Linked DNA regions of Cricetulus griseus. The protein of the gene in region 2 interacts with the protein of the main gene of each other region in a pairwise test. Links are inferred from orthologs where the notes say so. Each region holds a gene or a part of one and is shown on either strand. Other genes may lie near its edges.

Region 1 (2,932 bases), on a different chromosome or scaffold from region 2:
AAGAACCACTAGAGCCTTTCCCTGCTCTTCCTATGGGATCTGCTGACCCACCAGAAAGAAGTGCACAAAGAAAAGCCACATCTCAAGCTCCTCTTTTTCCAATTCCTTCTGCCTGAAGCCACACCCAAAGGGGTGTGGCTACTGTTTCAGGTCCACAGACCAGATGCCTACATAAAACCTTGTCTATCTGTTTTTACTTTATTTTTTCTCAATTGTCAATACATGACTATTATCTAAAAATACAAAACTACAGAAAAATATAAATATATGAAGCAGCCTTTTTATGCTTATACTACTTTGTAGACTGATTTTTTAACTTCCTCCTTTTCCTGTTAAATGAGCAGCATTTTGTTGTCAATAATTTTATTTGATTTATAATGATTAAAGAGGACTTTTCTGTTTGTACCATATAGTACCTCATACTCTGAGTTGTGCCTTCCTAAGTATTTAATACCAGTTGTGTGTACTTAAATAGCAATATGTGGATCAGTGCCCAGATGAGTCATGTTGATTTTGAGATGGTATTAGAGGAGAAACTTACTGTGTATTGACCAACCTCGATAATTTCTAGTGTTAAAAGTTGGGACTTAGAGGAAAAACTTACAAAGATGCAAAATCTGCCAGATAAGAAAACAAGAAATTATAGCTCTTTTCAATCAGTATGGAGATTAAAACTCTTCCTTTGTCTCTCTGTCCCTCTCTCCCTCGCTCCCGTGTGTGTGTGTGTGTGTGTGTGTGTGTGTGTGTGTGTGTGTGTGTGTGTGTGTGTGTGTCTGTGTGTGTCTGTGTGTCTGTGTGTGTCTGTGTGTGTCTGTGTGTGTCTGTGTGTGTCTGTGTGTGTGTCTGTGTGTGTGTAAAATGAGGAATAGAAGGATAATAGAGAGCTGATCCCAATGTATTGTGAAATTAACTTGGTAAAGTAAATATTGCTATTTTATCTCACTAGTAATGATAAAAATAAAAATTATAAATTTATTTATATTTAATAAATATTATCATATTGAAGATTTTATAAGTGTATAAACACAGCCACAAATATATGATCAAGTTCTCTTCCTAAGTAAAATATGAACAAAACATACTTTTATTTGTGTAATTGTAGAAAAATTGTTTCTTGGCACTACAAAAATATTTGAATACCTTTTTTCTACTGTCTTCAAGAACAGAAAAGTGTTTGTTTTGATTGTGAATTGCTAGACTTGATGAAGCTCTGTCTGGCTGAAAGGCTATCAGAGTGAAATCTTTTCCTTGGAAAGTTAGGTCATTGGAAATTTGTCATACACATCCTCCTGATGGATGATGATTAGTTCTCTCATGGCAGAAAATTGGAGAAGGCATAGCTTTCCTACTTCATATGTAATTTTTTGTTTACTCAGGTGCCCAGAGGCTTGCCTTACTTTGCTGTAGACTTTGGCCTTCAGGGAGGATTTGCCCATGTCATTGAAGATCAACACAAATTTCCTCGTTACTTTGGAAAGGTATACTCAGAAATTTGATAAAACCCTGAAGATTAGTGGTTTGGTTAATATTTTCACAAGGTTGTGAAAGAAAAAGTTTGAATCACAGAATTTGATGAGTTGTTTTCTATACAAGTTTGACAGAGAAGGGTGTGGGGGTGTGTGTGATATTAACAATAAAAGAAAAAAGTACCAGAATATTCATTAGCCAATCAGAAATTTCATTGTGTAACAGACATTTTTGGACATTGTGCTCGCTCAGTCTTTGTAACTATAATGTTTTCCTAACTTTGGAGTCAGCTTTGTCCTGAAAGTTATGTTATTTGCTAATGTTTATTGAGGGCTTACAGTGTGCCCATCTACTGTCTAAGCAGCCATCTAGTGCTCACAGTTACTCTACTGTCTAGATTTTGTTCTAACATTTGTTGTGAAGATAGGAAAACTCTAAATTGCAAAGGGGTTCTGTGATTTCCCTAGGGTTATGTGCTAAGTGAGAGGACCCAGGTACCACAGGTGATGGTTAATACAGAAAATAAATGGTGTTAGCTCTTCATTTGTAGTTAAGGTATAATCCAGGAAAAATAAATAACTCATTTCACAGTTAGGTTCTGGGCACGTATGAAAATCCCCATCATTTGATTACCAGTAGTTTCTTTCAGGGGGAAAAAAAAATGCCTTCATAAGAGCATATTCCTTAAATTTAGAGGTCTACATACTAAGTATCTAAATTCTCTTCAGGAACTGGAATGAAATTAATGTAGTGTGTGAAATTGGCAAAAATGAATCTGGGCCTAGCTCAAGCCTTCTTGTATCACCTTTCTGTGATTATGCCTCTACAGAGACCAGCCTTGATAAACTCTGCTGAGAGTTCATAATTTCCCACCCTGCTTCCCCCTCTGCCCTGCTCTCATCTGCATGAGATAATCTTCTACAATGAAATTGGGATGTTTCAAGAGAAAACAGCTCCATTAGTTTCAATCCAGAACTCACTATGCTGCTGGCCTTAAATGAATATGCACATTCCAAAATCACATGCATTTTTGAATTATTACTTAAATATTCTCACATAGCCCAGACTGGTCTTGAACTCACCACATAGCTAACTATATCCTTGCACTGCTGTTCATCCGGCCTCCACCTCCTGATGTGAGTTTCCAGGACTGTACCATCATGCCTGTTTTTCCACAGCCTTGTGGATCAAACCCATAGCTTCATGCATGTCTGGCCTGCATTCTACTGCTCTACCAACTTAGGTGTATCCTATCCCCTGTTTGAGAAGTTTGCTGATTTTTCTACAGAATTAACAACAACAAATAAAAAACAAAAACTCAAAAACTTTGTTTTCACTGCTTTGAACAATCCTGTTGTTCCCTAGAGATTTTTAACTGCTCTTTAGCTTTCAATTTATAGCTCTGGATTCATAGTCTTAAAATGTGTTTCCAGAGGAAAGGACATCACTATGACCCATTGTTTCA
Region 2 (2,355 bases):
AAGTCACAAGGCATCTCAAAAGGCTCACAGTACAAGTTATACCAATACAGGCTCACCAGATTGTAAACGCAGCCCCGCCAACTCTCGGTTAGATAGATGCCTGCTTTTCAGCTGTGTGTTATCCCAGCTAGACAGGGAGAGAGCATCATCAAGCCTATTTCCCCACTCCTCTTGGCCTCCTCTAAAGGACAGGGACCTTTCTCCAGAAGCTTCAGTCCCAAGCCCGTCCTGGCTATGTGTGATTAGGTTATACCAACAGAGCTAGCCTATGTTAAAGGGGACTTGTCCCTGGGAGTAAATGTTCCTGCTGAGCAAATGCCAGCCTCTGCCTCACCTCTTTGCTGTCACTAGGTGGTCCCCTTGGGTCTTGCAGTGCCTCTGGGCAGGCTCTGTGTTTGATTCATGGGTCCCCAAGGCTCTGTTGTTTCACTCAATGCTGACTCAGCCCAGAGGATTAGCTCCCTCTGGACTGCTGCTCTTGTAGTGAATAAAGTTTTATGTTCCCTGCTCTTCATTTTAAATATTACTGAGTGTGACATGTTCTATTTTCCTCTCTAAGGGGGATGGACCAAATTACTTTTTACTGGTATGTGGCCCTTAAGTGATTCTTAGATGCAGGGAGGAAATTTCACGTAGGAATATTGGCCATACATATTTCAAGATGTAATTCAGCATTAGAAAGTTAATTATGCTGACCAGGTAAAAGTAATAGTGCCAAATTCTAGACAGTCAAGGGCCACTAGAGTCCAGATAAGTGACAGAAAAAGGTAAGGATGGGGAAGGGTCCCACACGTATTAATCACTAATTGTGGCACATGTTAACATGTGTTAGTCACCCCATCACCATCTCCAGGGAAGTAGGCACCGTGAGCACTTTTTGTAAGAGAGGAAACTGAGGCCTCTATCTTGATGTAGCCCTTGGTTGTCAGGAAGCCAGGTGCCAGAATAGAAGGCCGCGTGGGCTACAGGACAGCAGTAAGATGTGTCTGTGCTGGGGGGCAGTTGGGAGTCTCCAGCCACTTTGGGCAAACTGAGCCTCTCCCTACCTAGTTAGATAGCCCTGTATTCATGCCCCTGGGTGCATGATGGGAAGCTGGATACAGGACAGGCTGTTTAGTGCCCCAAGAGCCCACTGAGGCCTCCTCTCCTCGCACCTGCAGAAACCAGCTTGGACACCAAGTCCGTCTCAGAAGGGCACCTCAAGAGGAACATCGTGGTGAAGACGGTGGAGATGCGGGACGGTGAGGTGAGCAAAGGCTCTGGTTGCCCCCAGGAGTTCCTGAAGCGAGACTGCAGAAAGCCTGGGACTAGCTCACAGAAGGTCCCTATTAACTAACTACCGGGGCTCCCAATGGAAATTTGGAAGAAGGGATTGACCTTGAATGCAATTCTCCTTTCCCAACCCTTCCTCAGGTGGTGTGTTAAGGGCAACCCGGGTACCAAGGCCTCCTGATGGCTCAGCTCTGACTGGGACAGTTAGGGAAAGAAAAGGCCTTCAAATCTTACTCAAAGGAGCTTTCCAGAGAGGAATGGGAACAGGAGATAGACACAGCATGCATGGCCTTCTCTATTTGTTGGGGTGGCAACAGAGATAGCTTCTCCTGTGCCATAGTGTCAGGCATGGTGTTAGATGCTTTACAAGTGGCATTTCACACCCCAATTGGACCTCAGCATGATGCAATTACAATGACAGTCAAGGGAGGACAGGTCAGGATAGTTGGGAGCTTGCCTCAGGATGCACAGCCTAGCATGGTGGGTCTGGGAGCTATGTCACCCCTAACTGTGCACTGTGCACCTTCCCTGTCCCCTGCAGGTCATTAAGGAGTCCAAGCAAGAGCACAAGGATGTGATGTGAGGTGTGCCCACCTGGTGGCCCCTGCCAGACAGTGTGAAGGGCCCAGAGCTCCCCCTCAGATAGCCCTGTTCCCTTCAACATCAGCATTCCCCTTCCCTCTGTTTTTATGCCTGTCTGCTGCCCGGGGCTCAGTCCTTACTGCTGACAGATGGTACATACTCTGTGCCTCCAACTAACAGGATACTCACCCCAAAGGGGCAGTCAGGAGGGGAGGGGCCAGCAGCTGGGTTAGAATTGGAAGGAAAGAGGAAAGTTGGGCAGAGCAGGGAGCCTTAACAAATCATTTCCTTCATCCTTGTTGTTATGGAAACTGTGGCCAGAGCTGATGGTCTCTGGGAATTGGACTTTGAGTTTCCACTAGCTGCTGAAGGAAGACAGAAAGTCGGACAGAAAGGGGAGGTCCCAAGGCAAAGTAGCTCTAGCCAGAGACTTGTTTCCAGAATAGCCCTGACTGATCTAGGAGTGGGTGGGGAGACCTGCTACCTGGAATGGCCACTAAG
Region 3 (3,937 bases), on a different chromosome or scaffold from region 2:
AGCTAATGAAACAACACAGGGTTTACTCCACAAATGTGTGATGGTATGCATTTTATTTTTTTTTAAGGAATGTATAATTGTTTCCTCATCCATCTGAAAACTGATTGCAGAAGGGCCAGTGACCGCAAGAGCAATAAAAGGCTGAAGCCACAAATCCTGAACTACCCTCTAAGATGGTACCCTTTGGGTTTTCCACAGAACAAATAAAAGTGACCTCAATATCTCAGAAGATGCCAGTTTTATTTTATTTTTTTCAAGTTTCACCATGTGGGGTAATCATATTTATGAAAAAAGATTTGACATCTGGATTACAAGCAAGATCAGGTTGAACTACCTTGAATTGTATTAATTAAACATCTTTCAATGTGCGCTCATTTAATTTTATTCATGCCCAAACCATATGAATAATGAAATTAGTACCAGCAAAACCACCATCGAAAATTTGGGAAAAAAAAGTCAAGAAAGAGGAGGAGCTCCAGTCTGGGCAACCACAGCATACATATACTTGTAATTTCAGCCAGCCTGGTCTACTTCGGGGAGACTTTGCAAAAAAGATAGGAGAGAGGGAGACCTGGAATACGAATGAATGAATGAGTGAATGAATGAATGATGAACAGATTTGGGATTAGGTGACTGCAATTTACTTTGTAAAGGAGAGGATGAGGTCCAAGGTGGCATTTAGAGCTACCTGGAAGTTCAGTGGCTCTGGCTGCCCTGATGAAGTGTGACCTCTCACAGAGGGTGTGTGAGTGAACGTGCCCTCCCTAGGCCTCCGGAGGGGCCTGGAGAGCTTCCTCGGGCGGATAGCACCGAGGTGAAGGATGGGGGCGGCGGCGGCGCATTCCCGCCGGGCTAACAAAGGCAGCGGAGGGACTTCCAGAGCCGGGAAGCCCGCGCGGGGCCGAAGGGTTAACCCGGAGCCCGGCTCCCGCGCGCATCCCGGCCCCCGCCTGCCGTCGCTAGGAGACGCCGGAAGTGGGGGAGGGGCGGCGCGGGTGGGAATCTTTTTCGGGAGCCCGGGGGCGGAGGGAGGGAGGGGAGCGCGCGTGCGCGTGCCCGCGCTGCCCGCCCGCCCGTCGCCGCGGTGACCGTCCTCGCGGCTCTCGCCGGCTCGCGCCCCCGCCTCCGTCCCCCGCCCCCTCCCGCCCTCCCCGCCGCGCGCTGGGGGTGCCGCTCGCTCCTCCCGATTCCCGCCGCGCTCGCCGCTGCTCCTCCTCTCTCAGGCGTCGCGGCCGCTGCCTCTGCGGGCTGTATGAGGAGGCGGAGGAGGAGGAGGATGTGAAGATGGCGGAGCTGCAGATGCTGCTGGAAGAGGAAATCCCGGGGGGCCGCCGGGCCCTCTTCGACAGCTACACGAATCTGGAGCGGGTGGCCGACTACTGCGAGAACAACTACATCCAGGTGCGTCGCGTCCCCCCGGCTGAGCGCGTCAGGTCGCGGGAGTGTGCGGGGCGCGCGGGGCGCCGCCGCCTGAGGAGGCCGCGCGGTGCTCGGCCCGGGGAGCCGCGCCGGGGTGGGGACGGGCGAGGGCGGCGGCGGCGGCGGCGGCGGCGGGAGGAAGCGGGCTCGGCGGAACGCCCCAGAAGCCCCGTGCGGGTCCGCGGTGCGGTGCGTGCGTGTGTGGCGGCCCGCCTCCTCATCGCTGCCCCTTTGCCCCCGCACTCTTCGCCTGTCAGGGTTCCGGGCGGCGGCGGAGGAGGTGGCGAGTGGCATTTTGTAGATAACGGAATGCTGCTCGGATGGCCGGGTTGTGTGTGATAGAGGGATATGTTACCTCCTGCCCAATTCCCAGGGGCTTTTAAGGGGTCCAGTTCCTGCAAAGTGAATTGCTTCGGTTTTCCCTTCCTGGGAATGTCCCCTGAAGACAAAACAAAAATACTTAACCCTTAAGTTTAATTTTTTTTTTTTAAGGTTGTAAAGGGGACACAGTGGGACGGCGTCCCTTATTACAAGTTAATGGCATTTTTCTCAATACAGAGAATGGGGAACTGCCCGATGATGGGCTGCTTTTCCTCCCCAATCCCCGTTAGAATAGGTCATTTTCCTATGGGAAAAAGAACTATGACTATTTTTCACAAAGATTTACGAAAATGAACCTTAGTTTTTTTCCCATGATGATTGCTTTGGCACCGGGACTCATAGTGGGTGTGTGTAGGAAGGTGAGAAGGTGGGGGAAAGACATTGGTGAGATGAGAACCAGCTGGTCATGGATGAATGTTAAAAATCTTATGGGTTAAAACAACGCTTTAAAAATTAACTAATGATTTTCAAATCCAGTATCTCTTGTTTTCCGTAGGGCATATACGGAATTTTGGGTTGTGCCTCGTTTATGTTCTCTGGATAAAGTGGAAGCAGGGTGTTAAGCTGTTAGCCCTTTTTAAACATTCTTGTTCCTACTCCCATCTCTGCAGATACCCTTATCGTAACCAGTTATATTGGAAAGCATTCTCAGTAGTTAGTATGAATTGTATATATTAAAAATTCTATAATTTATAGGTTCATAAGTTTTCTGGGGACCACATGGTTAATCAGAGATAATGTCATTAGGTTTTTCATTGATTACACATGTACTGAACTCTACTACTGTTGCAAACATTTGTGTTGGGGAATGAATCTGACATAATGGAATCCTTTTCCCTTCAAAGAAGGAGTTGAAAATGTGTGTTCAGTAGGAAGAAAGTGTGACTTTGGTTACAGATTGATTTAAAAACAAATCAAAACCCTAAGATACTTGCTAATACAGAGCTGTGTAGGAGTTAAAAGGTTTTATTGCTTAGCTTCACCAGTCTTCTTTGGCCCAGAACTGTTGATGGTACACTCCTAAAGTCTTCAGGGGTTTATAATGTAGTTCAAGAGGCTGATCTGTGAGCGAATTAAACCCATATTAGTACTATATATCGTCAGCCCTTCTTGTTGGAGGGTCCTACATTTGTGATTCAATAAATTGATCAGTGAAAATACTCCCTCTGTATAAATGCAAAGAGACGTTTTTCTTGTCTTTCCCTAAAAGATAGTGTTAACACTTAATGGGCATTTACATTTTATTAGGTATTGTAGGTAACCTGTAGATTTAAAATATGGAGGAGGATGTGTTATGGATAACATGTAAATATGCAGTTTTATGTAAAGGACTTGAGTATCCAGAGATGTTGGGATGGGGCTGTGGTGTTGGTGTGGGGGGTGTTCTAGAACTGATCCCTATTGGATACTGAGGGAAAAGTCAAGTATAGTTAATTTATACTTTGTAGTGGATTGTGGGTAGGGAGGTTTTGCTTATTTTCAGGGATTCACAGCTGCTAGGAGAGGCAAACCTAAAAGTGCTAATTCTGTTGCCTCATGTAGCATATTGTGGGAAAGTGTCTGTCAGAAGAGAAACTGGGGGATGGAAAAGTGATAGGATTGTAGTTGTAGCCGACTAATAAGAAACAGGTTTGTCTGTCTTTGGAAGATTAATGCTACTATGTTAGATTATAATTGCCACATAAAGGGAAGCATACATGAATTGATCTAGTGGAAAAGTGTAAAATCAGCATTTGTCTTAAATTTTATAATTCTAGCTGAAAGAGAAGTGTCAAAATTGGTATGTTATTTACGTACTTATTTTTGGTGTTGGGGATTGAGTTTAGGGTCTTGTGCGTGTTAAAAATATACTCTACCTGAATTATACTCTGAGCCCACGGTAAAAGCACAAATAATAATTTCCTAGAAATGGATTTTGAATTTTGAATCATCTGTTTTCAATTTAGCACCTGAAGTAGAGTTTGTACTTTGATTGCTTAGGTTGTCCTCTATTGTGGGAATCACTGGATTTATTACAGTTGTGCTCTCCCAGGTGACACTTCTTACATGATAACTAGAACTGGTGATAGTTGATTTGTGCTGACCCAGCTGTACATTTGACTCAAGAACTGACCAGCAGGGGTCCTGATGCTGTCTG
Region 4 (4,254 bases), on a different chromosome or scaffold from region 2:
GAAACAAGCAACTTTTAGGTTCTACTCAATGCTATCCAATGCACTGGGTATTTTACTTAAGCTAATGGGTAAACATCTTCATGGCTCAAACTTAAAAAACAAAACAGTGGAATGTAAAAAATGAATTAATAAAAAATACAACTCCTTGCTGGGGTATATCCCTGAAAGACATAGAGTATGTGGCTCAAGGGGGACACTGAAGCGGATTGTTGGGAGTAAGAAATTACTAGAATTATTAACGCCAAGTGCGGAAGGAACACAGCACCGCATACTCTCAGAATTTCAGGCCCCGGCGCCATAGGGAGCAGGCCTGGGGGTGGGGTCGGGGGAGGGGGATTCTGAGAACGAGGCTCAAGTGGCAGAATCCGGGTCCTTAGAGGGTCTCTTAGGAACCTGCAGCTAGGCTGATTCCTCACCAGGTGGCAGGGAAGAGGGCAGGGAGGTGTGTCGCCATCTAGCCCTTTTGGCACGTCTGGTCTGGCAACCTGGCTTGGTGAAGTGAGAAATTTGGGCACTTAGGGAGCCTGTTAAGAAGATAGGGACTCAAAAGCGGGCTCTCCGTGGGATGGCTCCGTGGGATGCTAGGGGGAACGGGGAGGACTTCAGTAGGTTTCAGGGTCTGATGATCAGCGCCCTGGTCCGGATTCTAACAATCTCCACCTCACATCAGAAGAAAAGAAGGCTCGGGACGGTAAACCCACTTACTTCACGGTGGAAGTAGACCTGGGCTTCTCAGTTTCTGCCCTTCAGAAAAGTTGCTGCTAATTCAATCTTTTTCTAGCAATTGGTAATCGCCTGGAGCTGGGTGTGTTTCAGAGTGCTTCACACACAGGGAGGGGCTTATCGGGCCTCCCCGCCCGGCTTCGCAGCACTTATACAAAGCCATCAGACTTTTAAAGGAGCCGAGGCCTAGGCACTAAGAGGAAGCCCAACAAAAGACTACGGTCCCGCAGACCCCACGGCCGGGGCACCCTGCGCACACGGCGCTGGGCCGCCACCACCACCGATCCCCAGGCTGGGTGCCGGGTCTCCCTCCGGCTCTGGGGACTCCAGGACAGCGCTGAGAAAACCCGCCTTCTGGCCGGGAGGAGAGTGGCGCGCGAAGCCAGGCCCCGCCCCCGGTCCACCTCTTCCGCTCGGCCCTGAGGAGTCTGCGCGGCCCGGGGATTCGTTCCGACGGGGCCACGTTGCCCTGTGAGCCAGTCCGCGGCCCCCGGCTCCCGGCACCCCTCTGCTCGGCCCCCTGCCGGGCTCCGGGACCCAGGCCTTCCCTCCCTGTCGGCGGGGTGCAGCTGTGCGGGGATTGACGTGGCCGCCCGAGAGCTCCGCACGCGTCTGGGATCCCGGCCTCGGAGGCCCCGCCCCGCTCCGGAGCGGAGAAGCCGAGCGAGCGCGCCGGGCTCCGCTAGAGCTCGGCTCCGTGCTCATGCCCTGCGGCCCAGTGGGCCCGCGCCATGGCCTCCGGGAGCGTGGCCGAGTGCCTGCAGCAGGAGACCACCTGCCCCGTGTGTCTTCAGTACTTCGTGGAGCCCATGATGCTCGACTGCGGCCACAACATCTGTTGCGCTTGCCTGGCCCGCTGCTGGGGTGCCGCGGAGACTAACGTGTCGTGCCCGCAGTGCCGGGAGACCTTCCCGCAGCGCCACATGCGGCCCAACCGGCACCTGGCCAACGTGACCCAGCTGGTGAAGCAGCTGCGCACGGAGCGGCCGTCGGGGCCCGGCGGCGAGATGGGCGTGTGCGAGAAGCACCGCGAGCCTCTGAAGCTGTACTGTGAGCAGGACCAGATGCCCATCTGCGTGGTGTGCGACCGCTCGCGGGAGCACCGTGGCCACAGCGTGCTGCCGCTGGAGGAGGCGGTGGAGGGCTTTAAGGTAGGGCCGGGCCGGCGGACAAAGGGGCGAGCCGGGGGCTTCCCGGCCTGCCGCCGAGAAAATGGCGAGCCGGACGTGGGGCCCAGCGCCGTCATTTCCTCCTTGTCGGCTGCGGGGCCTCCGCACTCAGACTCGGAAGGAGAACCTGTAGCTGGCGAGGCCAGATGCGTCCCCACCCCCATCCCTTCTCCCAGCACCCCCTGTTAACTGCCTCAACGCGTGCGGGGCAGGGACCGGCGCGAGGAGACCCTCCCTTTGACAAAGGAGATGCACATCGAGCCCTGTCCACTTTGGTAGGCCTTGGAGACCTCGAACTCATCTGGCCCGGGATATCAGACTAAACAGTTGCTGTTTGCTGGCTGAGTTCACATCAAGCAATGCCTATCACTTAATCTATGTCCCCAGCACTTCCCTGTAACCTGTTCTAGAAGCTAATGGAAATGAACACAGTTCTTTACTACTTGAGTAAATCATTTAGCCACTCTGAGACTCGGGAGATAACCGTTGTTATGAAGAGTAAGTGAACTCACAAGACCTGAAGAGGCCTTTGTGAACTGTTGAATAAACACTGGCACGGCTACACAGTAATGCAAAAATGTTACTTATAAAGGAGCTCTAAAGTGACAATGAGTCTATTTTGAGGGCTGCAGAGATAATACACACATAAACAGAATTGTATTTGTTTAAATGTGAGTTCATCCAAATGTCAGTTCCATTTACAGAGCTGTATCAGTTCACTCACTGGTGATGAGTCGTAGTTTGGAGAAGTGATGTTTACTGATTCTGTGTGTGAGGAAAATAAATAAATAATTTTCTCTGTATTCCTCCGAAGAAGAGGTACACCTTAGCTTTTGAGCCTCCTTACCCAGATGTCTCATAACTTCTGCAGAACCCATCTAGGAATTGGTAGGTGGCTCAGAGTTTAAAACAAATCACTAAAGCAGAGCTGTGCTGGCCCCTGTGCTTTGGGCTCTTCCCCGGAGTGGCATTGTGGTCTGAGGACAGTGCAGCCGGGCCTTGGCACCTCTAGTTTGGGTTCCCGTGTGATACACAGAGTAACTATTCTGATGCTGGAATCTGCATGATCTTCAACTGCCCAACTGTTTGCTTTCTTCAGGAACAAATCCAGAATCGGCTGGACCATCTAAGAAGAGTGAAAGACTTGAAGAAGAGACGCCGGGCACAGGGGGAGCAAGCCAGAGCTGAGCTCTTGGTAAGGGTCCAGATCTCCACCCTGCAGAGGCCTTGCATCTGGGCAGTAAACTTTTGAACTACTAGCAGTCTCTGGTAATCCTTGAGAAGTCTCAGTCTTGGCCAGGGTGCAGTGAGAAACTTCCAAACAGCACATGATGTCTGTCAGTCCCACCACTTAGCTCTGCCATGTAGGGCTGAATGAGACCTTGTCACCCCTTGCTTGAAAATAGGATGAAGGAAACTTCTCAATGATCCTGAGTAAACTGAAATTACACATAGAACAATGTCAGGTCTCTGGGAGGTTTTGTCCAGAGAGAGACAGCCTCTAGGAATCCAGAACCTTGGATTTTCTTTTTGGCTCTGACACTTAGCCAGTTTAAATGGAGAGGTGGTACAGCCTCTCTGGGCCTTCATTTCTTTGTGAAACAGAGAGGTCAGATGAAACCTGTGGTTCTCCAGCAGGCCAGTGCTGCCCTTTCTGCCCTTGAAATGGTAAATGGCTTGTTTTGGGCGGAGTCAAAGACTGAGTGGGGATGTGGGACAAGGTTGATAAGTGTTTTACAGCAAGAAACAGACCTATGCCAGGCAAATTGTTCCTGTAGGGGTGTTAGTCACACCCTTTAGGAAACATGATCGTTAAGGTTTCTTTTAGTTTTAATTTTGTACATCTAAGATTACATTGTATGCTTTATGCCTTTGAAAGACTTACCCAGCTGAGAAGAGGTATGAGCTTATCGAAAGGGTCTATAAACCAAAGGGGGGGTGGGTGCGTGCGTGTGCGTGCCTAAGTGCTTGATAGAAGATGCCTGATAAGTGCCTAAGAAGATTGGCTAGAGGTGTGATGGGGGAGCACTTGAAACAGCTGAGTTCAGATCAGGTTTGACAAACTTTCTAAAAAGGGCCAGTAGTATTTTTAAACTTTGTGGGTTTACACAAACAGCCCAGTTACTATATCTCAAAAGCATCCATGTCTAATACATAAGTGAATGGATGTGGCTGGATTCAAGGACAATATTTCTTGACTGTTCTAGAGCCATTTGCTTATTTCTTTAGAGATAATTTCACTATGTAGGCCAGAGATGTTTTGAACTCTCAATATTCCTTGCTCAGTCTCTCCAGGTACAGGGATTACAGGTATGCACTGGCACACTTATAATTCTTTTGTTAGAACTCTTGGTTTTTTTTT
Region 5 (4,295 bases), on a different chromosome or scaffold from region 2:
CAACACTACTGACAGAGTCATTGCCCTAATATAAAATAAACAGACTTTTTCAGTAATTGTTTGGCGTGTATACCTATTATACATACCTATATACTTGAGGTAAATTTGTTCTGGGTGAAAAGGAGTTGAAAATGGAAAAAGTTTGAGGAGATCTGATCTAGAAAACCGGGATGAAGTTGATTACTAAGAATGAACTAATCATTCCCGGACACAGGCCTTCGTGCTGGGAGAGAGGCCAGATGATCCTTTCATGTGTAAATCTGTATACAGAGCGCCACAGAAGGTTGGCCAGAATGGCAAGGACACAGGAGCTGTTCATTTTACAGATTCATTCAACCTGGGTCCAGCTTCCAGAATGAATGGGACCGAGAAGAACTGTGGTGTCCAGAGGGAGTCAGTGGTCTTGGAGTTGGCTAATCTATCAAGTGGTGGTTCTAGCCTGAGAACACAGCGACTAGCAGCTTGCCAGAAAAAAAAAAACAAAACAAAAAACAAAAACATTTCCAGTCTTGAAACTAGTGCTTAGGAATGTGGGTGGGACAAACAGATAAGTAAACTGTAGACTGGATAGTGACAGGAAGAAGGTTAAGGCAGGGGAAGACAGGCGTTTTAGAGAGGATGTTTAAATGGCTCTCAGAAACGATCTTAGTAAGAAGATGGTATCTGTACGAAAAAAAGCCTTGGCATGTCTGAAGGAAAAGGGTATTCTCGATGAAGGCCTGGTGGTGGCAAGGCTCTGAGTAGGAGGCCTGTGTGGCTAAGGTTGGAACGTGCTTCTGGGGTAGTTCACAGCAGAAAGGGTTAGGAAGCGTTCCAGGCATTGGTCCATCCAGCACATCAGGACTGAGCTGTTGGGAAGATCAGAACCTGCCTCCGTTTCCAACTCTAGCCGGGAGGAAAGGTTTCTAGGAAAGTCCTGGAGCCTAATTATAACCCCCTTCCCCGTTATAGACTTATTAGCATTTGGAAGACTTCCAGGGTAGCACAAGGAGCCTGGGAAGTGATTCTGTAGCAGCCCCTAATTGCTGTGTAGCCTTAGGGGTGTCTTTTATCGTCCGGTAGCCTCAATTACTTCATCTGTAAAATGAGACTAGAGAGCCTTCTCATAGCGTCACGAGAGATCGTTGAAGGTACCTCTTACACTTCCCTATAATGTCCAAAAAGCAAAAGTGAAAACGGCTGTGACTTCACTCAGCCCTTTTCGGCTTTTTGCAAAGCACACTGCGTGGGTTTGTAGGACCCACCGTGAGTAGGGACACGGTTCAGGTCTCACCCAGCCCGCACACCCGGCTGGGAGCCGCAGAGCGGCTGTGGGTAGCGCGGAGGCGACGCGGGAGGAGGTGCGGGGGTGCTGGGCGGAGCCGCAGAGCCCGACCGGGCGACCTGAGTCTGGCGAGGTACTGTGAACGCGTTGGGAGTGGAGGCTGAGACCGGGCGGGGCTGCAGCGACACGGTTGAGGGCGGATCTGTCCCCGCCCTCGCTCGCGTCCCCGCCCGCTCCAGGAGCTCCCAACCCGCGCGGCGCGCTCTTTCTCCGACAGCTGCTCTGGGAGCTCTGCGCGCCCTGCTGTTCCGTGCCTGGCCCGTCTGTCCCCTCTGATTGTGCCTAGCGATGACCACCCAGCAAATTGTCCTTCAGGGCCCGGGACCCTGGGGTTTCCGCCTCGTAGGCGGCAAGGACTTCGAGCAACCTCTCGCCATTTCCCGGGTAAGAGTGTCCTGGGACGCGCGTGGGAACCGGGCGCTTCGGTAGGGTGGCGGCGCTGCGCCCGGAGGGGAGTCGGGGAGGTTGGAGCCCGCGGCGACCGCGGCGGGGCACATCAAGGTGCGCTGTGCTCTGAGCGCTCTGTGCCATCCGCTGTCCCTTCCCCGCCACTTCGCTCCGGGGCAAGCGGGCTCCTTGCTTGCCGCGCCAAGGCCAAAGACAGTTTTCTTTCTGCGCCCCGGAAGCGTGGCATGGCACGCAGACGCTCTTTGTGCCCGGGCGTGTAGACTTGGAGCTCCGCAGACCCCGCGCGCTGGGAGTTAGCACGCCCTGTTCTTCACAGTGGAAGAGCTGGGGAGCGCTGATTGGAAGCAGCAGAAAGTCCTGGAAGGTGAATGGGAGTACAGAGGAGTTCCCTGGAAGGCGAGTGGGATTCTTTTAGCTAAGAACTGAAACAACTACTTTACACTCTGAAGGTCTGACCCCATAGCTGCTGGCTCTCAGCTCTGTAAAGCCTTTCACAGGAAACAGCGGAGTTGGGAAGTAACCCCAGATAAACCTTCAGTAGACTCGCTCTGCCTCAGGTGCTTAGATCACCTTTCTGTCCTCCAGGTTATCTGTGATAAGTTCATTTCCTCCTGGAAGAGTAGTTCCAACCCTGTGTGTGGTGGCGATGACTGAAAACCTCTTAGCTGGGCCTCATCTCCGGGAGGGCTGGTGGCCCATCACAGACTGCTAGACTTGTGATCCATAAATGAAATGTAACCCCCTGTGAGACTAGGGCTCAGCATTTGAAGGTCCACACTTTGGGTATGTGATCTGGGCCAAACAAGGTCTATTTCCCAGTGATAGTCAACGTTTTTTGCTCCTTCAGATAGAATGGGTGTGTGTGTGTGTGTGTGTGTGTGTGTGTGTGTGTGTGTGTGTGTGTGTCTTACTAAATATCTTCTGATTAAGGAGAGAGGGGGAAACTTCAGCAATGCTTGGTCTAGAGGGACCACATTCTATTCTTTGGTACGTTTGCTTGCTGAAGCTGACCTTAAACTTGGTTCCCCAGTTTTGGAAATACCCCTCTTTTCTTAGAGGGATTCTGGGATGGAAGTAGAAGCTAAAGATCCTAATGGGTCCTCTTGACGTAAGGCCATGCTTCCAGCCCCTGAAGGAGATGGATGGGAGTTGCAGAAGCACTCCTGGCTCCCCTTGGCCTTTCTGCCAGCCGCAGGGCCTGCAGCTCAGGCTTTCTTACAGGTGGGCCTGGCTCAGCAACCAGCTCTTTGACTATCCTACTCCAAATGAGCAGGCAGCCTGGTTTTCCCCTTGACCATGTCATCGTCCAGAGATTTCTTTGTTATTGGAGATATGAGATGCTTTCCCACCCTCCAGTCAAACTTCTCAAGTACGGGAACTGTGTCTTAGCCAACCTGACCTGTTAGACTAAGCCTGGCCCAGGACTGCACCTGACTGTTCCTAGTGTGTCCTTGCAGACAGAATGCAAATGCTTCCCTATGGAGGGCACTGCCTCTGCACATTTAGAGTTGGTTACCTCATAGGCCAGTTGTTCCCGCTCTTTGTGTCTATAATTAACCTGTCAGTCCTCTCCATTTCCAAGAAACCTTCTTTTTAAGCAGGGGAGGATACAGTGGCAGTCTGTTGGAAGGGTAGTCTTGGCTTGTCATTTGGCTGCTTCTAACACCACTGGGAAAATAGCACAATGGTCCATCCGGCACAGTGTAGAAATGAAGCTGGCATGGACTGGAAAACACACCGAATCCATTGCTTTGGACCTTCATGCATTAATTAATTTTACTCCTTTTTATTTTGAAATAGACTCTCATGTTGTATCTCAGGGTGATTTTGAACTCTGTATGTCGACAAGAACTTCTGATCTTCCTGCCTCCCACCTTCTGAGTGCTGGGATGTGTGGCACATAGCGCAGGGGATTGAACCCAGACGTCATGCATGCTAGGCAAGCACCCTACCAACTGAGCTACATCCCTAGTCCATACTCCACACTCATGGTGAATGAGCACATGCCAAATGCAAACTCCTCAGACCTGACAGGATACAGCTCTAGAGGGAAGCTAATCTTCATTATGCCTTTGGCAAGTGTTTTAATTGAAAAGTGAAAATGACTCAGAGACATTGTCATTGTGATACTGGCTATAATTTACTTGCCTCTTCACCTTATCACTGCCTCTGTTCACCTCTTGGGACTGAGAAAGTGATTGTCATTAAGAGAATGTGTCATGGGTGGTCTGGGATCTGGCATTGGTCTGGAGTCTAGTTCTTGTCCAAGCGGTACCTAAGGTAAGCACCCAGAGTTTATTTATTTTTTTAATCACTGCAGTGGGGTAACAGCAGCCCTTGGCTACCAGTTGAAGAATGTCTAGTGCTCTGTAAACAGAGCATAATGGTGAGGAGCGAGCATTGGTAAGAGCTCTGCCCACCTTCTGGCTGCTGTGTGCCACATTTATTATCCTGGGCAGATACAGTTTGCAAGTACGTTTTTTTTGTGTAAGTAGACTTGCAGGCTCCACACCAAAGCAAACCATAAAATTAGGCAGGGAGAGGAGTGCCTCTTATTTAAATA
Region 6 (3,500 bases), on a different chromosome or scaffold from region 2:
GTTTTAATTGCCAAAGAACAAATGTAATAAAAGTCATAAAAATAGAAAAGAAACATTTCATGATTCTTCACTTTATTGGAGCTTTAAAAAGTATTTATTTATTGTGAGTTCTGCTTGCACATATGCCTGGAAACCAGAAGAGGGCACCAGATATCATTACAGATGTTTGTGAGCCACCATGTGGTTGCTGGGATTGAACTCAGGACCTCTGGAAGAACAGCCAGTGCTCTTAACCTCTGGGCCATCTCTCCAGCCCTTTATTAGAGCTTTTAAGATGTTATTTCTTTCTAGCTTTTATCATCCAGTGTTTACTGTTGAGAAATCTAATGTTTTGATTCCTGCTTCATTTTATGAAAACTATTTTGTTTCATTTCCAAAAGTCAATACTGTTTTCTTTACTCTAAAATTGTAAGATTTTACAGTGATTGCTTTGGAGTTTTGGTAAGTCATTTCAGTTTCAAGACTTTCAATCTTCGATTCTACAAATATTAATCATATTGTTTAATAACTTACTGTGCTTTCTGTCCTTTGTGGAGCAAATTTGTTCACATGTTGAATGTTCTGATTTCCCTTTCATTTCTACTTTCCATCTGCTCTTTTTTTTCCATTCTGAGAGTTTTTTTTATTATCTTGTAATGCTTCTATTTGACTTTTGACTACCAGGCTTTTAACTTACATTTTTGTTATTTTGTTTCTCTGTTCATCTTTTATAATACACTCCTTTTATATACAATACCTTTCTTGTAGTCGGGCAGTGGTGGCGCATGTCTTTAATCCCAGCACTCGGGAGGCAGAGGCAGACAGATCTCTGTGAGTTTGAGGCCAGCCTGGTCTCCAGAGCGAGTGCCAGGATAGGCTCCAAAGCTACACAGAGAAACCCTGTCTTGAAAAACCAAAACCAAAACCTTTCTTGTTTAAAATATTTATCTTATGTATGTGTGTGTGTTGCCTGTGTGTATGTCTGCACCATTTGTGTGCATAGCCCAAGGAGGGCAAAAAGAGGCATGGGATCCCCTAGGAATGAAGGAATGAGTTACAGAGTAATGTGAGTCTCCATGTGGGCTCTGAGAGTCAAACCTGGGTCCTCTGTAAGAGCAGCTAGTGCTGTTAACTGCTGAGCCATTTCTATACTCGGGACACAATATCTTTTCATACTTTATTAATGTTATTTTCTGTTAAAATCTGTTAAAATTTCTCTCTCTCTCACTTTCTCTCTCTCTTCCCCTCTGTGTGTGTGCATTTGTGCATGTGCTGTGTTTCAGTTTCCTCAGTTTTTGTTCTTGTGCTTTGGGGAACCTTTTCTCTTTAGCTAAGCTCTCATCAAGGATCTGACAATCCTGGCCTGTCATTTGGTGGTTTTGTTTTTGATTTGAGGCAAGATCTCACTATTTAGTCTTGGCTGGCTTTGAGTTCACAGAGCTCCTCCTGTCTCTGCCTCCCAAGTACTCGGATTAAAAGTGTTCACCACCACATCCTGCTGTTCATTTAAGTCTTAGTTTATTCACTAAAGGACTTCATACTTCCGTGTACATCATACATACATACATACATACATACATACATACATACATTCATACATACATAGAGTCCTGTAATGTGGTCCCCCAAAGCCAGTGTTAGAAGGTTCATTTCTTGCTACTGGGTGAATCCAGAGAATTGTTGTCCCTCCCAAGAGGATGACAGTCACTGGCACTCTGGGAGCTGATCTTAGAAGGCAATCTGACAGCTTCGTGGTTGCTGGGCACCCTTGCTCAGGCTTCCCCGACACCAGCGCTGAGGCGAACCCTGCTCCTTATCCTGTCTGGATTTTCTGAACTAAAATCCATCTAGGATTGGAGAGCCATCTCAGTGGTTAAGAGTGTTTACTGCTTTTCCAGAGGACCTAAGTTTAATTTTCAACACCCACTTCAGGTGGCTTACAACCACCTGTGACTCCAAGTGATCTGATACCCTCTCCGGCCTTCAGTTTTGGGCATTTATACACACACACACACACACACTCTCTCTCTCTCTCTCTCTCTCTCTCTCTCTCTCTCTCTCTCTCACACACACACACACACACACACACATTCTCTCTCTCTCTCTCTCTCACACACACACACACCTCTCTCTCTAACACACACACACACACACACACACACACACACAAAATTAAAGTTAAAAAAAATCTTTTAAGGAGATGTAGAGATTGCTCAGTGATTAAGAGCAGCAGCTATTCTTCCAAAGGACCACGTGGCAGCTCACAACTATCTGTAACTCCAGTTCCAGGGGATCTGATGCAGGCAAAACACCAATGCAAATGAAATAAAAATAAATATCTTTAAAAACTATTTAGTTCATTTTTTCCAGAGAACAATTTTTCCTCTCTTATCATGGGAGGGTACTGGGGATACTGGGCACCTGGATAAACAGGGTAGGAGAGGAGCCCCAAGTTCATCTTGTTTTCATCCCTACATCGTCCTCCTTTCTACCTGACCCAACAACCCTCTCAGGGGACCTGGCAGGAAAATGCCTGGGCTTCAGGTAGGACCCCTCCTTGGGGGCCTTGGGTCAGGCCTCAGTGCTAGTCATCACTCTTCCCCCTTTTCTACTCTTTGGTCTTAAGGACCTTTTTTACATCCCTACTGTTGTCATCATCATGGAGCTCCAGAGAAGGGAGAGATCCATGGCAGCAGAAGACTCAATGTTCCTTTCCCATTACAGACTGAACCTCCTCGGAAGAGCACCTGGAGACAGAAGCATGAGTCTTTTATCCGTACCCTCCGCCACGCTCGCCAGGTCCAGCAGGTCATCGCCAAAGGTGGGAACCCCTCAGACTTGCCTCCTGTCCTGCCAGCCGAAAACCCAGACTATGTCCAGTGTCTTCACTGCAGCCGCCACTTTGCTCCCAAGGTGGCTGAACGACACATACCTAAGTGTAAGACCATCAAGAACCGTCCTCCACCTCCAAGGAGGTATGACAGCTGAGCAGACAAAGGCAGAAAACTGCCTTGTGTAGATCAGGAGGCTGTGTGTACCTTCAGCAGTAAACCAGAGGAAGCGATAGAAAGCAAGGGAAAAAAAACTTTTCCAGAACTCAGGATCTGCCTGCAGAGCAAAACTGCCCCGGAGGAGAGCCTGCTACCTGGCAGGAGGCAGATGGAAGCCCCAGTGTCCCACTGGGTCATAACCGTGGCTGTGTTTATGTTCTTGCCTCAAGAACTGGTGTGTAAGGATACTGGATAGTGAGGCTGCATTAAAGCTCTTGTCTCCTGAGTCTGACCATGGTTTGTGCTGGGGAAGTGCCTGTATTTAGTTGTGTTTTCTGGCCATGGCACATATCCAGGGTTTCTGTTAGCCCTCTTGCTCTTCAAAGTAGGGGTATAAGGATGAGTAAGTTGAAGTCAGAGAGTCATTGTCATATGCACATGTTAGCTCTAATAAAAGATAGCAAGATTCTGCTGTGAGGTATTATTAATGGAAATCTATCCTTGGCCTCCATGACACATGGTCCTGGCTGA
Region 7 (4,280 bases), on a different chromosome or scaffold from region 2:
GGCACCCCTGAAAACCACTTGAAATTTTTGATCTTTTGCCTATACATACAAATGAGGGCCACAGAGCCAGATGTGGGAAACAACTGTAATCTCAGCAAATGGGAAGTGGAGGCCTCAATTACACAAGTTCAAAGCCATCCTGGACTACATGATCCTGTCTCAAAAAATGAAAAAAAAAACTTACAAATATGACCTATTTTAAAACCACATAATAGCCAGATGGTAGTGGCTCACACCTTTAATCCCATCACTCGGGAGGCAGAGGTAAGTGGATTTTCTGTGAGTTAGAAACCAGCCTGGTCTACATAAGCTAGTAACAACCACCACCTCCTTGCTCTCAAACTGTCCTTCTGAATTTGGGCAATGCTCATTTCTGTGAGCAGAAGTGACTGCACCTCAAGGGACTTCTAGATGCAGGATCAGCTGGCAGTTCCACATTAGGGTCCTGGAGTGTTTTCTAATACACATGTGTCCGAAGCAGATCTCTGAGAGTTCAAGGCCAGCCTGGTGTACAAAGTGAGTTCCAGACAGCCAGGGCTATTACACAGAGAAACCCTGTCTCAGGGGAAAGAAAAAAAAACAAAAAACAAACAAACAAAAAAAACAAAAAAAAGGAAAATGAGCTGGACATAGGCAGGCAGATCTCTGTGAGTTTTCAAGGCCAGCCTCATCTTGGTCTATACAGTGAGTTCCAGTCAGAGCTACATATTGAAAAAAAAAAAAGAAAGAAAAAGAAAAAAAAGTAAATAAATGAAACCAAGTGCAGTAAAATACTGTGTTTATGTTTTTTAAAATTTTTTCTTTTTTGGTTTTTCAAGACAGGGCTTCTCTGTGGCTTTGGAGGCTGTCCTGAAACTAGTTCTTGTAGACCAGGCAAGTCTCGAACTCACAGAGATCCCGAGTGCTGGGATTAAAGGCGTGAACCACCAACGCCTGGCCACAGTATACTGTTTTTAAGGCAAGAGGATCAGAGGGGCTCAAGGTCACCCTCCTCTTTGTAGAGTTCAAAGCCAGACGTTGTGTATAGGTTTATATGTATATACATGTAGGCACTAACACAAAAGGAGACTGAGGATCAGCTCAGCTGGTAAAGTGCTTACCTTTATCCTTCACACACACACACACAGACTGAGGTTGAGGCAGGAGAATTTGAAACTTCAAGTCAGACTGGGCAACTTAGTGAGACCATCTCAAAACAACAACAAAAAGGATGAGAATTTAGCTCCATGGGAGGGGATTGCCTGGTGTATGCAAGGCCTAGTGTTCATCTAGCACAAAATAATAAGTCTCGTGGTACGTGCCTACAATACCAAACTTGGGAGACTTGCACTGAAAGACTGACTATGAGGCCAGCCTGGGGTACTAAGACTGGCCCTATAAGGGAGAATTAGTCTTCAACGGGGATGAACTCCCTAAATGGTTATCCAAGGCCAAATGGTTAGCCTTAAAAATAAGTACATGCTAGCTACACTAAATGGACTCAGGTTGTATGAATTTGGGGAGTGGGTAGACATGAAAGTAACTGGAGGGAGATCCTGTTAAAACACGTACATACATACATACATACATACATACACACATACATACATACATACATGTTGTTTGTTTGTTTTTTGTTTTGTTTTATTTTTCCAGGCAAGGTTTCTCTGTGGCTTTGGAGGCTGTCCTGGAACTAGCTCTTGTAGACCAGGCTGGTCTGGAACTCACAGATCCGCCTGCCTCTGCCTCCCGAGTGCTGGGATTAAAAGTGTGCACCACTGCCACCCACCATATAATTATATTTTAGTTAAAATAAAGGTTCACTGGGCTGAGGATTTTTCAGACCCTGGATAAATCAGCACCACACAAACACAAAAAGGTTCATGACTTCCAAAGAAATCTACCTCATATCTATCGTCCTGTAAACAATGACCCTCACCAAGTGACTCTAGTGAAAACACAGTGCAATTAAGGTTCACTGAAAAATCTTCACTTCCAGCCACTTGACAGAAATTATCTCATACACACACACACACACACACACACACACACACACACACACGCACGCACGCACGCACGCACGCAAACTTGGGAAGACAAGATACCCACATGAAAGAGGCGGAAAACAAGGCCTGAAAGTTTAACTCCGTCGGGGTTAGCAAAGCCAACTCCAGATTCAATCACCTGTCATGCCGTCCTAAACACCACTATGAATTAACCCATCAAGGTAATTGTTAGAACTAGGAAACTGGTAAACATTAAGGAGCAAGCTGAAAGACCAACTGATCGCGTTAAAAGAAAAAAAAAAATAGGGCACCAAAGCAGCCCACGAACAAGGTACTACTGACTCACATTTAAAGGACGAGTCGGGCCGCCAAACTCAATTGACAGGCATCAACCACCCTCAAAGTTCAAAGGAATCTTGTCACCCCACCCTGAGCCACAGGTCCTCCAACGCCAGAATCCGGGCGACTCTGGAGCCCCTGTGTCCCGCGGCGCCCCATCCTTGCCCGCGCGGCCACCGCTGCCCACGGACACAGAACTCCTCGCGGCCTCCCGCCCCCGGGCTTGCGGCCTAGGCCGGGGCCGCCCACTCCGGCCCACCGCGCCGCCTCCCGACCCGAGGCCCCGAACTAACCGTTGTATGACTTCCCTTCGTCCGCCATGGCACAGGCAGGTACAGGGGAGGGCTCAGGCGCAGAACCTGACGACACCAAACGCCCAGACGTCTTGGCGCTCAGGACTGAAGCGCTCCTACGACCGGCGCCACCGCATTTATCCGGCGAAGCACGTCGCGCGCCGCCGACGTCCCCAGGATGTGGGCGGTGCCGCGGGGCGAGAACGCGCTCTCTGCGCCTGCGCAGAAGCAGGGCTGCCTCCAGAGGGCGGGGCCAGGCCCTTCGAGGCCCGCCCACGGCCGTAGCTCGGGGCGCAATGGCTTGTTGGCCGTCTCTGCCTTCCTGCTTCTCCACTGTCCCAGTTGTGTCGGGGTTTGCTCTGGAGTTGAGCGGGCTGCTTTAGCCCTGAATTCTTGAGAATCGGGGACCAGAGCCACACAAAATGAAGACCTAGCCTCTGAGTGGGAGTAACGGCTCACAGTCTCCGTCGGTGAGATTCCCGGCAGCTTGTAAGTCGCAGCTCAGCTCCTTGACAGCCGCACGCCTATTCCCTCCCAGCTTTCCTCGCCTCTACGATGGATTGTGACGAAATAGAAAATTGGAATGTAAGCTCCACCGGAGCAGGAACCTTAACTAATGCACAGCTTCTCTTCCTCCAGCCCGCCTGGCTCAGTACCGAGCCAAGTGTGAAACCTGTGTGAATTAAATGAAATCCTGTCTCTTTTAGGCCCTCCACAAATTGTTAGGAAAACAAAAACAACCCCTCCCCACCCCCCAAAAAACCAGCATCAAGTCCCGCATGATGGCGCACACCTTTAATCCCAACATTTGAGTGGCAGAGACAGGTGGATCTCTGAGTTTGAGGCCAGCTTGGTCTACATAGAACTTTCCAGGACAGCCAGGGCTATGTAGAGAGATCTCGCTTCAAAAAATCAAACTGGGCATGGTGGTTTAATTCTTTAGTCCCAGTACTTGGAAGTTCAAGGCCACAATTGTCCATACAGGGAACACCCTGACAGCCAAAGCTACATAGACAGACACTGTCTCAAAACAAAAATAAAATGCACCTGTCAGGGACATAGTGAGCACTGGTCTTTACACTCGAGGTCCTAAACACCATCATCCCTATTAGGTAGACCCAGATCAGCTAGGTGGACAGGGAGTCAATAGTAGTGATTGGATTTTATTTTTGGGAGTGTTTCTCTGTGTAGCCCTGGCTGTCCTGGAACTTGCTCTGCAGACCACATTGGCCTCAAGCTCAGGAGATCCACCTGCTTTTTCCTGCAGAGTGCTGGAATTAAAGGCGTGTGCCAAGAGCTCTTATAGATGACCTTCAGTGTGACTAGGGCTGACCCTATTATGGCCTGAGATTCCTGAACCTGCTGGGGGCGGGGGAGTAAGCAGATGGGACATCCATAGGCATGGAGCAATGACGTCAATACTAATCAGGGCAAAATAGCTTATTAACCTTCCTCCAGAGTCTGTGTTAGGTGGGTTGCCTCCATTTTTTCAGTGGCAGGTTTGGATTTGCTGAGGGTCTTAGAAGGTGCCAAAAGCTGGGTCCAAATTCTCTTCTGCTCCCAGCAACAGAGGTCTTGCTTCACTGAATTCAAGAATCAAAGCCACGTGATTTGCGAATACAGATGGAAAACAGGCCCCAACATAGCTTGAGATGTCCTAGAA

What was found.
Region 1: the proteins of Gfap (region 2) and Cwf19l2 interact in binary tests that used the Homo sapiens proteins (3 or more experiments, as listed by UniProt). The link is inferred for Cricetulus griseus from reciprocal best matches to the Homo sapiens genes GFAP and CWF19L2.
Region 3: the proteins of Gfap (region 2) and Abi2 interact in binary tests that used the Homo sapiens proteins (3 or more experiments, as listed by UniProt). The link is inferred for Cricetulus griseus from reciprocal best matches to the Homo sapiens genes GFAP and ABI2.
Region 4: the proteins of Gfap (region 2) and Trim27 interact in binary tests that used the Homo sapiens proteins (3 or more experiments, as listed by UniProt). The two-hybrid records come from large-scale screens. The link is inferred for Cricetulus griseus from reciprocal best matches to the Homo sapiens genes GFAP and TRIM27.
Region 5: the proteins of Gfap (region 2) and Pdlim1 interact in binary tests that used the Homo sapiens proteins (3 or more experiments, as listed by UniProt). The link is inferred for Cricetulus griseus from reciprocal best matches to the Homo sapiens genes GFAP and PDLIM1.
Region 6: the proteins of Gfap (region 2) and Zc2hc1c interact in binary tests that used the Homo sapiens proteins (3 or more experiments, as listed by UniProt). The link is inferred for Cricetulus griseus from reciprocal best matches to the Homo sapiens genes GFAP and ZC2HC1C.
Region 7: the proteins of Gfap (region 2) and Nxf1 interact in a two-hybrid assay, tested with the Homo sapiens proteins (3 studies listed by BioGRID and IntAct). The two-hybrid records come from large-scale screens. The link is inferred for Cricetulus griseus from reciprocal best matches to the Homo sapiens genes GFAP and NXF1.

The regions. Positions count from the first base shown.
Region 1 is NC_048597.1:118,136,824-118,139,755, forward strand, and holds part of Cwf19l2 (CWF19-like protein 2), read left to right. Parts: intron 1-1,376; coding exon 1,377-1,478; intron 1,479-2,932.
Region 2 is NC_048600.1:115,230,590-115,232,944, forward strand, and holds the end of Gfap (glial fibrillary acidic protein), read left to right. Parts: coding exon 1-87; exon of another isoform or gene 88-1,160; coding exon 1,161-1,246; exon of another isoform or gene 1,247-1,813; coding exon 1,814-1,855; downstream 1,856-2,355.
Region 3 is NC_048595.1:414,643,676-414,647,612, forward strand, and holds the start of Abi2 (abl interactor 2), read left to right. Parts: upstream 1-1,137; 5' UTR 1,138-1,284; coding exon 1,285-1,401; intron 1,402-3,937. UniProt on the Homo sapiens protein: Regulator of actin cytoskeleton dynamics underlying cell motility and adhesion. Functions as a component of the WAVE complex, which activates actin nucleating machinery Arp2/3 to drive lamellipodia formation.
Region 4 is NC_048596.1:243,527,678-243,531,931, forward strand, and holds the start of Trim27 (zinc finger protein RFP), read left to right. Parts: upstream 1-1,454; coding exon 1,455-1,874; intron 1,875-2,991; coding exon 2,992-3,087; intron 3,088-4,254. UniProt on the Homo sapiens protein: E3 ubiquitin-protein ligase that mediates ubiquitination of various substrates and thereby plays a role in diffent processes including proliferation, innate immunity, apoptosis, immune response or autophagy.
Region 5 is NC_048596.1:21,316,375-21,320,669, forward strand, and holds the start of Pdlim1 (PDZ and LIM domain protein 1), read left to right. Parts: upstream 1-1,495; 5' UTR 1,496-1,612; coding exon 1,613-1,708; intron 1,709-4,295. UniProt on the Homo sapiens protein: Cytoskeletal protein that may act as an adapter that brings other proteins (like kinases) to the cytoskeleton. Involved in assembly, disassembly and directioning of stress fibers in fibroblasts.
Region 6 is NC_048598.1:118,485,549-118,489,048, reverse strand, and holds the end of Zc2hc1c (zinc finger C2HC domain-containing protein 1C), read left to right. Parts: intron 1-2,703; coding exon 2,704-2,967; 3' UTR 2,968-3,438; downstream 3,439-3,500.
Region 7 is NC_048596.1:51,336,284-51,340,563, forward strand, and holds the start of Nxf1 (nuclear RNA export factor 1), read right to left. Parts: upstream 2,801-4,280; 5' UTR 2,646-2,800; coding exon 2,618-2,645; intron 1-2,617.